Linked DNA regions of Callithrix jacchus. The protein of the gene in region 1 binds, or shares a complex with, the protein of each later gene. Links are inferred from orthologs where the notes say so. Each region holds a gene or a part of one and is shown in the gene's direction. Other genes may lie near its edges. The genes, in order: DLG4, SHISA6 and HTR2C.

Evidence for each region.
Region 2: DLG4 (region 1) and SHISA6 share a complex: the UniProt entries of both Homo sapiens proteins name them as parts of the postsynaptic hippocampal AMPA-type glutamate receptor (AMPAR) complex. The link is inferred for Callithrix jacchus from reciprocal best matches to the Homo sapiens genes DLG4 and SHISA6.
Region 3: the proteins of DLG4 (region 1) and HTR2C are in contact, whole or in part, in an NMR structure (PDB 2MHO), measured with the Rattus norvegicus proteins. The link is inferred for Callithrix jacchus from reciprocal best matches to the Homo sapiens genes DLG4 and HTR2C. Residues at the interface, in NP_062567.1 of Rattus norvegicus: Gly74, Leu75, Phe77, Ser78, Ile79, Ala80, Asn85, Pro86, His87, Ile88, Thr97, Lys98, His130, Val134, Leu137, Lys138; in NP_036897.2 of Rattus norvegicus: Val452, Val453, Ser454, Glu455, Arg456, Ile457, Ser459, Val460.

What each region holds. Positions count from the first base shown.
Region 1 is NC_133506.1:73,692,946-73,696,590, reverse strand, and holds part of DLG4 (disks large homolog 4), read left to right. Parts: intron 1-197; exon of another isoform or gene 198-572; coding exon of another isoform or gene 573-584; intron 585-1,079; coding exon 1,080-1,133; exon of another isoform or gene 1,134-1,134; intron 1,135-1,265; exon of another isoform or gene 1,266-1,267; coding exon 1,268-1,324; intron 1,325-1,530; coding exon 1,531-1,655; intron 1,656-1,750; coding exon 1,751-1,920; intron 1,921-2,022; coding exon 2,023-2,159; intron 2,160-2,305; coding exon 2,306-2,450; intron 2,451-3,645. UniProt on the Homo sapiens protein: Postsynaptic scaffolding protein that plays a critical role in synaptogenesis and synaptic plasticity by providing a platform for the postsynaptic clustering of crucial synaptic proteins.
Region 2 is NC_133506.1:77,672,724-77,676,892, forward strand, and holds the start of SHISA6 (protein shisa-6), read left to right. Parts: upstream 1-1,340; 5' UTR 1,341-1,448; exon of another isoform or gene 1,449-1,801; 5' UTR 1,802-2,180; coding exon 2,181-2,830; exon of another isoform or gene 2,831-2,918; intron 2,919-4,169. UniProt on the Homo sapiens protein: Involved in maintenance of high-frequency synaptic transmission at hippocampal CA3-CA1 synapses.
Region 3 is NC_133524.1:110,943,115-110,946,759, forward strand, and holds part of HTR2C (5-hydroxytryptamine receptor 2C), read left to right. Parts: intron 1-51; coding exon 52-365; intron 366-3,645. UniProt on the Homo sapiens protein: G-protein coupled receptor for 5-hydroxytryptamine (serotonin).

The sequences.
Region 1 (3,645 bases):
CAGGCAATTGGGGAAGCCCCTAGGACCAGCCTAAAGCTGGCCCCGCCTGGGAGTCTAGAGACCAGGCAATTGACGTCAGGGACCTGGGCACGCCCCACTTTAACCCTTTCCCCGAAAGAAGTAGGGGGAGGGAGTAGAGGAGGGGTATAGGACCCGGATGTCTTTCTCCACGCCTCCTTCCTGACGTCCTTTGCACTGCATAGGGTGAGGGGCGTGGGGGAGAGAGGAAGGCAGGTTGTTCAGGATGCGCTGCACCCTCAAACCTCTTCAGCCTGGCCTCCTCTCGGCCTGGCTAACGCGGGGCGGGGCCCAGGGCAGGAGAGGCGGGGTTAGCGGATCCCTTCTGCACTCGGGAGCCTGGTCGGCCTCAGGCCACGCCCCACCCCCCTGTTGTCCTGACGACAGGGCCTCCTGGAGGTGGGTCTCCCCGGGTCTTGGCTGGTCCTAGATACCGTTGCTAGGCAACACGGTCCCTAGAGGAAGGGGTGGATTGGACGGCTGGTAGCTGAGACCGAGGGAGGGGCCTGCAGCTGGGGAAACCCCGGATTCCCGAGGCGCAGGGTTTAGGGCAAATGTGTGTGAAGGTGAGGGACAAGTCTAGGGGAGGGTTATGAAGATATTTGGGTAGATATGGAGGGGTTGGGGGGATGGAGCAGGAAGTGGGACCAGGAGCCGGTGGACTTGAGCCCTGGGGTGTCCGTGTGTAGCATATAAGGCATGTGGTGTTACATCCGGTGAGAAGCTCCCTTCCCCCAAGCCTACCCCCCTCTCCCCACTCTGCCATCTGCTGCTCCCCTCTCTGTCTGGCTGTCTCCCTTCCCGCTTTTCTTACACCTCCTTCCACATGCAGGGGGCCTGGGCTGGGCAAAGTTAGAGTGGTGTGTATGTGCATCTGTGGTATGTGTGTGCGCGTGGGCCTGTGTGGTGTGCATTGAGGCTGGGTCCTTGAGCAGCTCTCAGGGTGGGGGAGTGGGCTTGGCTGAGAGGCTAAGGGGTAGCCACGCTGATGGGACCTCCGTTACGGGCTCCCTCTTGAGTCAAGGCTCAGGAGGCTTTTTGTCTCTTATTTCCCCGAACAGGCCAATTCTCCCCCTGTGATTGTCAACACAGATACCCTAGAAGCCCCAGGATATGTGAGTTGTTTAGATTTTGGGGCTGGGACCATGGTAGAAGAAAGGAGGGAGTAAGGGAGGGCAGCAGATGACAGGCAGGTTGTCAGGCGGGAATGTCTGTCTCACTGCTTTTGTGTTTCTATCCCGTGCTGGAGTTGCAGGTGAACGGGACCGAGGGGGAGATGGAATACGAGGAGATCACATTGGAAAGGGTGAGCAGGCTCCTCCATCAGTGGTCCCCTTAGCTCCTGATCTGTACCTTTCTTTATGCCCATGTGGTCTGTATGGTCAGCCCCTCATCCTGTCCCTTCCTGCTCTGGCTGCCACTCTCTACCACTCTCCAAGCCATTTCCCACCCCACTTACCTTGCCAGAATTGGGCAGTGAGGGGAGCTGACCTCTTCCCCTCCTTCATCCAGGGTAACTCAGGTCTGGGCTTCAGCATCGCAGGTGGCACTGACAACCCACACATCGGTGACGATCCGTCCATTTTCATCACCAAGATAATTCCTGGTGGGGCTGCGGCCCAGGATGGCCGCCTCAGGTGGGGAGAGGAGACGGGTTAGGATGCTGGTCCCTTGAGAGGGAGGGCCAGGGCAGCAGGAAGCCCTTGGCTTAGGCCCACCTTGTTGTTCCCAGGGTCAACGACAGCATCCTGTTTGTAAATGAAGTGGACGTGCGTGAGGTGACCCACTCAGCGGCAGTGGAGGCCCTCAAAGAGGCAGGCTCCATCGTTCGCCTCTATGTCATGCGTCGGAAGCCCCCGGCTGAGAAGGTCATGGAGATAAAGCTCATCAAAGGGCCTAAAGGTAGCAACTCATTTTGTTCCCATCCTCATCCCAACTGTCCTGTGCCCCAAAGCCTGCTTCCTGGGCACCTGGGCACCCACCTCTGGCCTCCCCTCCATCCAGGTCTTGGCTTCAGCATCGCAGGGGGCGTAGGGAACCAGCACATCCCAGGAGATAATAGCATCTATGTAACAAAGATCATCGAAGGGGGTGCTGCCCACAAGGATGGGAGGTTGCAGATTGGAGACAAGATCCTGGCGGTGAGGACCCCATCTAGCCCATTTTCTAGCCCAGATCTGGGTCTCACCTACTAGCCCTGGACAGGCCCAAGTTCATCACTTCACCCCAGTCCCTCTGTCTTGGGCCATCTGTGGCTTTGTTTGAACTTTGCTTTCCTTGACTCCAGGTCAACAGTGTGGGGTTGGAGGATGTCATGCATGAAGATGCTGTGGCAGCCCTGAAGAACACGTATGATGTTGTCTACCTAAAGGTGGCCAAGCCCAGCAATGCCTACCTGAGTGACAGCTATGCTCCCCCAGACATCACAACCTGTGAGAGCCCTTCAAATGCCAAAGCTCCCCATGACCCATCCTGTTTAACCCCATGACATGCAGCCCCATGACATCCCTGTAGCTGTCCTTCTTCAGATATTCCCCATGAAATAGCCACAATCGCTGATCCTTGCTGTGGCTGGAGAAGAGATGGAAAAATCAGTTACCATAAGGAACTAGAGAAGATTGTCAACGATCTCTCCCCCAGAAGGCACAAAGCCCAGGTGGTTTGATGACTAATTTTACGAAATTCTCAAAAGATAGATAATTTTTCTGTTCTTTTAGAGTACAGGAAAAGATATAAGATTTCACATTTCATTGTGTAAGGCCAGTTCAAATGGTCACAAAGATAACATAAAATAAGGAGAGTTTTGCTTTTGAATAGAGATGCAAAAGTTTACAACAATATAGTAGCAAACCAAACATGGCAGCATTGTAAGGGAATAACATAGGGTTTGTTTCAGAAAACTAAAGATGGCTCAATATTAAGAAATCTCTTAAATATGATTCATAAAAAGTCAGCCAGGCAGAGTGGCTCATGCCTGTAATCCCAGCACTTTGGGAGGTCAAGGGGGGCGGATCATGAGGTCAGGAGATCAAGACTATCCTGACCAACATGGTGAAACTCTGTCTCTAATATATATATATATTATAAAATTAGTTGGACGTGGTGCATGACTGTAGTCCCAGCTACTTGGAGGTTGAGGCAGGGGAATTGCTTGAACCTGGGAGGCAGAGGTTGCAGTGAACCAAGATTTTGCCACTGTACTCCAATCTGGCAACAGAGGGAGACTCTATCTCAAAAAAAAAAGAAAGAAAGAAAAAAAAAGTTAAGCCGGGCTCAGTGGCTCGAGCCTGTAATCCCAGCACTTTGGGAGGCCGAGGTGGGTGGATCACGAGGTTAAGAGATTGAGACCATCCTGGTCAGCATGGTGAAACCCCGTCTCTAATAAAAATACAAAAAATTAGCTGGGCATGGTGGTGCGTGCCTGTAATCCCAGCTACTCAGGAGGCTGAGGCAGGAGAATTGCCTGAACCCAGGAGGCGGAGGTTGCGATGAGCCGAGATCGCGCCATTGCATTCCAGCCTGGGTAACGAACGAAACTCTGTCTCAAAAAAAAAAAGGAAAAAAAAGTTAAGGGTGGCCAGGTGCGGTGGCTCATGCTTGTAATCCCAGCACTTGGGAGGCCAAAGT
Region 2 (4,169 bases), about 4.0 Mb from region 1:
TGTTTGTGGAAGAGAATCTTTACGAAGAAGGTAGGAGCTGAGACAAAGTTAAGGGACTGCAGGAAGTGCAGAGGAAGGAGGGAACCGAGATAGCAGCAAATGAGGAGCTGTGTGTGTGTGTGTGTTGGGGGGTGTCTGTGCACCCTCCCCCCAGCAGACGCCAGCCAGTATCAGGATCTCCCTCTTGTGTGTTGGAGTCTGAGTTCCAGATCCAATATATATCCACTCCACAGTTCCCAGAAGAGGAACTCTTCTGTTCCTTGATAGCGATCCCTTGTTTGGGTCACACATGAGTGGGACTGAACAGAAAGTCTCAGGGAAAATTCTCTACCGCCCTCACTCTGACAGTCTGTTCCCTTCAGCGAAAGCACGCCGGTCATGCAGGCAGAATCCTGGCCTTGGCCATCGCTTTTTGTTCTCAGTTCTCCCTAACTCCTCCGAGGACACATACCAAGGATGGTAACTATGATTCTCTTTTGGGGTGGCCTCATAGCTGTGAAAGTTAGACTCAGGCCTCCTTTCCAGACCCAGGTACGAAACTACCCCAGTAAGCCCCCGTCTCTGCATCTCCATCCTCCTCACCTCCCTTAGCAGCTGCAGCATAGGGATTTCAACACAGGGGTTACAAAGCTGAGTCTCAGAGGTTCAGACAGCTTTCTAATGGCCTTGAAGTTCCCAGGGGTGGGTGGGAGAAAGTCTAGCAGAGTTGCCACCCAGTCCTGGGGCTGTCTAGCGCCTTTCTACGTGGTGGGGACGGGGCTGGGGAAAGAACGACCAAGAGGAAGAAAGTATAGGCTTAGCTCACGGGTCGCCCAATAGCCTCAGACAAGCCACTTGACCCCTGGACTCAGTTTGGGAATCTGTAGCAATGGGTTTGACCTTTTCTCCTGGCTATCACCACTAGGGAGAGGCAAAGGCTTGCAGAAACCCCAACTCCTGTTCTGGCCGCACGCTTTGCGGGGCCTAGGTAGGGTGGGGACGGGTCGCGAGGGCTGGAGGGGGCAGTGGCGGGGGAGGTCTGTCCCTGCCGCGGGCCGTCTGCACAGTGGACCTTCCGTCCTGCTCCCGGCCCCCTCTTCGCCTGCCCAGTTCGCCGCGTTAACTGCTGTCCCGGGCTTTCGTGACGCTGAGCTTCAAGTGCCGCGATCGGGCAGAAGCAAAAAGGAGTCCCCCCGGCCCCCCCCGCCACGCCCCGCACCCTGAGCGCCCGGGCGTGCAAACGTGGGCGGCGGAGAGCCACTGCCCTCCCCTCGCCTCTCCCCCGCCCCTCGCGGCGCTCCCGTGTGTGCGGGTGTGTGAGTGCGTGTGTCTCCGTCGCTCCCTCTCGCACACGCTCCGGCACTAGTGCAGGCGGCGAGCCGGCAGCTCTCCGCTCGCTCGCTCGCTCCGGCCGCTGCGCTCCCGCCCCGCCGCCGCCGCCGCCGCCTCTGCAGTCGCAGCTGGGCATGGTGAGTGAGTGAGGTCCAGCCGCCGCGCGTTCCCCCGGCTCGCAGCCGGACCCCAGCCTCAGCCGTCTCCGTCCCAGGGAGCCAGCCTGCGGCGGGAGCGCGCTGTACGGCCGGGCGGCGGGGGACCAGGGCGACCGAGCTGTGCCTGGAGGGGCGGCCGGTGCGCCCTCAGTTCCAGGCGCGCAGGGCCGCGGGACGCGTCTTGGGAGCAGGCGCTACGCCCTCTCCCTGCCCGGAGCCTCGCTCCTCGAGGGCTGCGCGCACCCTCCCAGCCCGCCTGCCCCCGGTTCCCCTCCTGCTCTCAGAGCACCAGTCGCCCCACCCCGTGACCGGCTCCCCGTCTTGTCCCGCAGGACCCGCCCGGACGGGACCACGCCGCCGCCGCCCGGAGCCGCGCTTCGGGTCCTGCCTGAGTCGAGCCGCGCGCGGGGCCGCCGCCACCGCCGGCGGGGGATGGGGCTACCCGGGAGGCGCGCGGAGCCCACAGGGGGAGCGCGGAGCCAGCGCGCAGCCTGAGAGCCGGAGCAGCCCGCGCCGGGCCGGTCCGTGCGCACCGCGCGCCGCCGCCACCGCCACCGCCACCGCCGCCCGCGCCTGGATGGCGCCATAGCCCCGGCGCCGCTGACCGCTCCGCGCCTCCAGCCCGGCCCGCGCCGCGGTCCTCCTAGCCTGGCCGGCCGGGGGAGCGGCCTGCCGCGGAAGCCTCCCCGCGCCCTCCCGCCCGGCCCCGCCATGGCGCTGCGGCGCCTCCTGCTGCTGCTGCTGCTCTCGCTAGAGTCCCTGGACCTGCTGCCCGGCGCCCACGGAGCCCGCGGTCGTGCCGCCAACCGGACCCTGAGCGCGGGCGGCGCTGCTGCCGTCGGGGGCCGGCGGGCCGGGGGCGCACTGGCCCGGGGCGGCCGCGAGCTGAACGGCACCGCCCGGACGCCTGGAGTCCCGGAGGCGGGAAGCCGGCGGGGGCAGCCCGCGGCGGCGGTGGCGGCGGCGGCGGCGGCGGCCAACGCGGCCGTCACCTACGAGACGTGCTGGGGCTACTACGACGTGAGCGGCCAGTACGACAAGGAGTTCGAGTGCAACAACAGCGAGAGCGGCTACCTATACTGCTGCGGCACCTGCTACTACCGCTTCTGCTGCAAGAAGCGCCACGAGAAGCTGGACCAGCGCCAGTGCACCAACTACCAGAGCCCGGTGTGGGTCCAGACGCCCAGCACCAAGGTGGTGTCGCCGGGGCCCGAGAACAAGTACGACCCGGAGAAGGACAAGACCAACTTCACCGTCTACATTACCTGCGGGGTGATCGCCTTCGTCATCGTGGCCGGAGTCTTCGCCAAGGTCTCCTACGACAAGGCCCATCGCCCTCCGCGGGAGATGAACATCCACAGGTGAGAGCGCCGCGTGCTGCGCGCCCGGGTCGGTCTCCCTGCGGCCTCACCCTCTCCGCTTGCTTCGCCTGTCCTCTTCACTCTCGGCATCGTCACACCTCCTCTGGCCCTCTTAAGTCAGTTTACCCTCGTTCCTTTTGCATGCAATAAATCAGGGCGTTCTTGGGCCCCCTCCTCCATTTTTTTCCCCCAGAACCGGGAACGCATGCTTTGGTGGTCGGGGATTTACAAGACAGAGTAAGAATTGGTTGAGTGCGTGAAGTTCCAAGTGTAAGAATGTTCGAAATGCTGTAATCCTGAATGAGGATCCAGGGTTCTGTTTTCCTGGCATATGGGCACCTCGGTGTAGGCTCATGGCATTGAGTTTTTTTGAGTCAAATCAGAGTGTCATCTTCAGTATAGGGAACTGACCAGTGTTGGATGGAACCTTACTGAAAGGGGTACCAAGTGGCTTAGGGTCAACTGGGATGTTCTTGTGCATTAGGAATTAGGGTTTTATAGAAAGGATGCCTCCTGCCGGAAGAAGGGATAAAGATTCCTCCATTCCATGTTGACCAAGCACAGATGGTGTCTCTTCATTGCATCCTGTGGAGTGGGATGTTTGTCTTTCCTGCTGAGACTTGAGGACTTGTTCTTTGAAACCCTGTAGGCAGAACTCTGAGTTAACAGTTCTTGCCTGTGTTAAACCTGGCGGGGCATCTTTCACTGTTTATGTGAGAGAGGCGGCGGCAGCGCGGTGGGGGGTGGGGTGGGGGGGTTGCCTCCTACCAAAACTTACACCAAGAGCTCAAACTATGGCAGTCCCTGGTTCCACTCTGAATGCTGCCCGTTACACTGCCTTGGCCCCCAGTGAGCCCTTGGGGAAGTCAAAGCCAAGAGGAGGACAGAAACCCAGCTTCCCCCTTAGAACTCTAGGAATGACACACCCAGGGGATGCAGAGTTAGCTTGGCTTCTAGTCCCCTTATGATGATGGATGACTGGACATGATGCAAAAGTCCTCTCAGGGAACAAATCTTGCCCCAGGAGGTACCTCCATTTCTGGTGCATGGTGCTGCCCTAGTCACTGTGACCACCTCGCAGATCACTCCTTATGAGTTGGCCCTGCAGGCTCCCACGCTGACCTATTCACCTTGAGCTCATCTCCACGTCCTGCTTGCTTGTTATCCTTACCACCTGAAAACCTCCTTCCTAACCACCTGAAAACTGCCTTCCTCACTGCGTGCTCATTAATCACCCCTGCCTTGCTGAAGAGAGAGAAAGGCAGAGAGAAATTTCTAGGCATGCTAAAAGAGCTGATTTTTTTTCTTGCTTGATATTGTGGGTGTTGAGAGAAACGAT
Region 3 (3,645 bases), on another chromosome or scaffold:
ATAAGCAATATAACATGTACCTGATTGGTTTTTTTTCTTCTTAATTTTCAGTGTGCACCTAATTGGCCTATTGGTTTGGCAATGCGATATTTCTGTAAGCCCAGTAGCTGCTCTAGTAACTGACATTTTCAATACCTCCGATGGTGGACGCTTCAAATTCCCAGACGGGGTACAAAACTGGCCAGCACTTGCAATCGTCATAATAATAATCATGACAATAGGTGGCAACATCCTCGTTATCATGGCAGTGAGCATGGAAAAGAAACTGCACAATGCCACCAATTACTTCTTAATGTCCCTAGCCATTGCAGATATGCTAGTGGGACTACTTGTCATGCCCCTGTCTCTCCTTGCAATACTTTATGGTAAGTACAATTTTTTTCACTTTTCAATCTCATATTATGTTATAAGTTTGTGCCAGTTTGTGTTATAAGTTGTGTTATAGTAAACACTCATAAAATTAATTATTTTACTTGTAACATCTGGAAAAAGAAAAAAGCAAATTGTGTGACAGAAGGAATTGGATGTATGTATCATATTTATTAAATAAATCAGTAGCAGTCTTCAAAAAGCAAAACAGACATTTTATAATGTACTAAAATCATACATAGTTGCTTTCTTGCTTAGTGTCTTTTTAAACAATGAATGAACAGTTAGTTGCCTTACAATGTGTACTGAATGGAACAGTAACAGAAACATCTTTCAACCCCTGTGTTCTGGGAAGTACACATACCTACTACCATCTCTGATACCAAGAAGGAAAAACAGGCTCATCCTCATTAATAAATATATTTTAAGAAATCCTTTTTAAAGCTGCCAAACTAAGTGCTTGGCACAAAGTAAGCACTCAATAATAGATATTCTTCTTGTTGATGGAGTCTATGATTTGTGTTATTAGACAAGAGATAGCAAATTAATTACTAAGTATTTAAGTGCCAGTTCACATTATCACTATAAATATTCAGGCATTGAAAGTTTCAATATATTGATTTTAAAGAGGTTTTTAAATTTTTCTTTTGATTTTCTTCCATCCCTTCATTCTGTTCATTTTAACCTAAGGTTTTGTTTCTAGCTAATATTTATGATGAACAATCAAAATTGTTTATGCGATTCTACAAATGATCTTTACTAGGATGTTGGAGAGCCCAGTTTGAATTTAATTGCTAATATGCTTATCTCGCAAAGAAGTAAAATAGACTTCCAGTTGTCTGGAGTGTATAATGGAATTAGACTAGAAGAAATAATATTGAAAGTGTATCTACTTGTTGAATCTTAAAAGAAAATAAATACATCTAGAAAATAATCTCTCATGAAATATAAAAATTAGTTAGCCTGTTTTAAACCTACAGCAATAGTAGACTATCTTAATAGGTATTTTATAAAGTGTTCTCAGAAAATATGCCTTTCTTATTCTTCATCGAGTTTCAGTGATGTATTGCCCTCAAAGGACCAGTATTTTATCGGCTCAGTGGGCATTTTAACACTCTGTTGCTCCAAAATTAAGAAAAGGTTACTAGAATGAAGTGAAACTGTGATTTAGAAAGTATACTTTGTTCTGTTGTGTCTGTTTTGCCAGCTTCTCCCTTTAAAAAAAAAGTGAGTGGCCAAATAATGGTATTAGCATAAATCCAAGTCTCTTAACATATCTATTTTCCTGCCCAAATAAACAAAAAACAATAAGAAAACCAAAAAAGCCTACACAATACCACCATTAAGTGTAGGCAACATTCAAATTTCAAATTACCTGTAAGGAGAAAAACAAACAGGAAATCACAATGAACTATGTATTAGGCTCTTACCCCATGCTGTTATGTAGAAGAAGAGTATTCCAGGAGAAACAGCATGAAATAAACTAGGGGAAAGCTATTAGGAAGCCTAAGATTGATCTAAAATCATCACAAGTGGAGGGGCGTGGTGACTCATGCCTGTAATCCTAGCACTTTAGGAGGCTATGGCAGGCAGATCACTTGAGCTCAGGAGTTTGAAACCAGCCTGGCCAACATTGGGAAACCCCAGCTCTACAAAAAAAAAAACAGAAAAAGAAATACAAAAATTAGCCAGGGATAGTGGTGCTTGCCTGTAACCCCATCTGATACAGAGGCTGAGATGTGAGGATCATCTGAGCCCAAGAAGGCTGAAGCTGCAGTGAGCCATGATCGTGTCACTGTACTTCACCCTGGGTGACAGAATGAGACCCTGTCTCAAAAAAAAAAAGATTAAAACTATCAGAAAATTCGGAATAGAAGGGAAGTTCCTCAACTTGATAAAGGGGATCCACAATTATCCTTAAGCAGACATTGTACTTTACGGTGAAAGATTGAATGATTTCACCTGAAGTTCAAGAATAAGATCAGAATGTCTACTTTCACTACTCTTATTCAACAACATACTGCAGGTTGGAAAGAAAGGAGTAAAACTGTTTTGTTTAAAGATAATATAATGTCTACATAGAAAATCACAAGGGATCCACAAAGAAGCTCCTAGAAATAATACAGCATCCTGCTTCTAAAATGGCCCTGAATGATCCTTGCCACAATGATCCCCTCTCTGTTGGTGTGAGAATAGAGCAGAAGTGATTGGATGCTATTTCTGAGATTACATTAATAAAAGACTGTGACTTATTTCTTGCTTGCACTTTCTCTATTGCTGGCAATCTCTCTTGCCCATTCACCTGTTTGCTCTGATGAAGCAAGCTGCCATGTTGTAAACTGTCCTATAGAGAGACCCACAAGGCAAGGAATTGAGAGAAGCCTCCAACATCCAATGTGGATCCAAGGCCTTCAACCCAAAAGCCAGCCAGTTATATGAGCCACATGAGTGAGCTCACTGAAGTGGACTTTTCTCCAGTTCAGCCTTAAGGTGACACCTTGGCTGACACCTGTCAACCTGGCTGACACCTTGATTTTAGCCTTGAAACATGCTAAAGAAGAGTATATGATATGACCCGATGCCTGATTCACAAAAAACTGTGAAATAATTAATGTTTTCTTAAGCTACTAATTTGGGGGATAATTTGTTATGCATTCACAGATAACTGGAGTAACTATTAAGTAAGTTTAGCAAGCTCTTACAATGCAAAGCCCAGTAGCGATGGGAATTGGAAGTCAAAATTTAAAAGAGTCCCATTTATAATATCATAAAAATCATAAAATCGTAAGTGTAAATCTACCAAATTATGTGCAGTACCTGTGTGCTACGATCTTCAAAACACTGATGAAATAAATTAAAGACCCATATAAATGGAGAGATCTATTCTGATTATGGATTAGAAGAATCAATATTATAAAATGTCATTTCGCCCTCAAAGGATCTGTATATTCAACACAATTTCAACCAAAAATCTCAGCAGATTTTTTTAAATTAAAAAGCTGTTTCTAAAATTTATGCAAAAAGGCAAAAGAACTACAATAGCTGAAACAGTTTTGTAAAACAGCAAAATTGGAGAACTCATAATACTGGAATTTAGGACTTACTGTCAAGCTACAGTAATCAAGAAGAATGGTATTGTTGGAAGGAAAAGTACATATATGAATGGATATAAGTAGAGGATCCAGAAATCCACAAATATAAGCAATTAATTTTTGTACTAAAAGACATTTCAACAAAGAAAGAATAGTCTTTTCAACAAATGGTGTTGGAAATCCA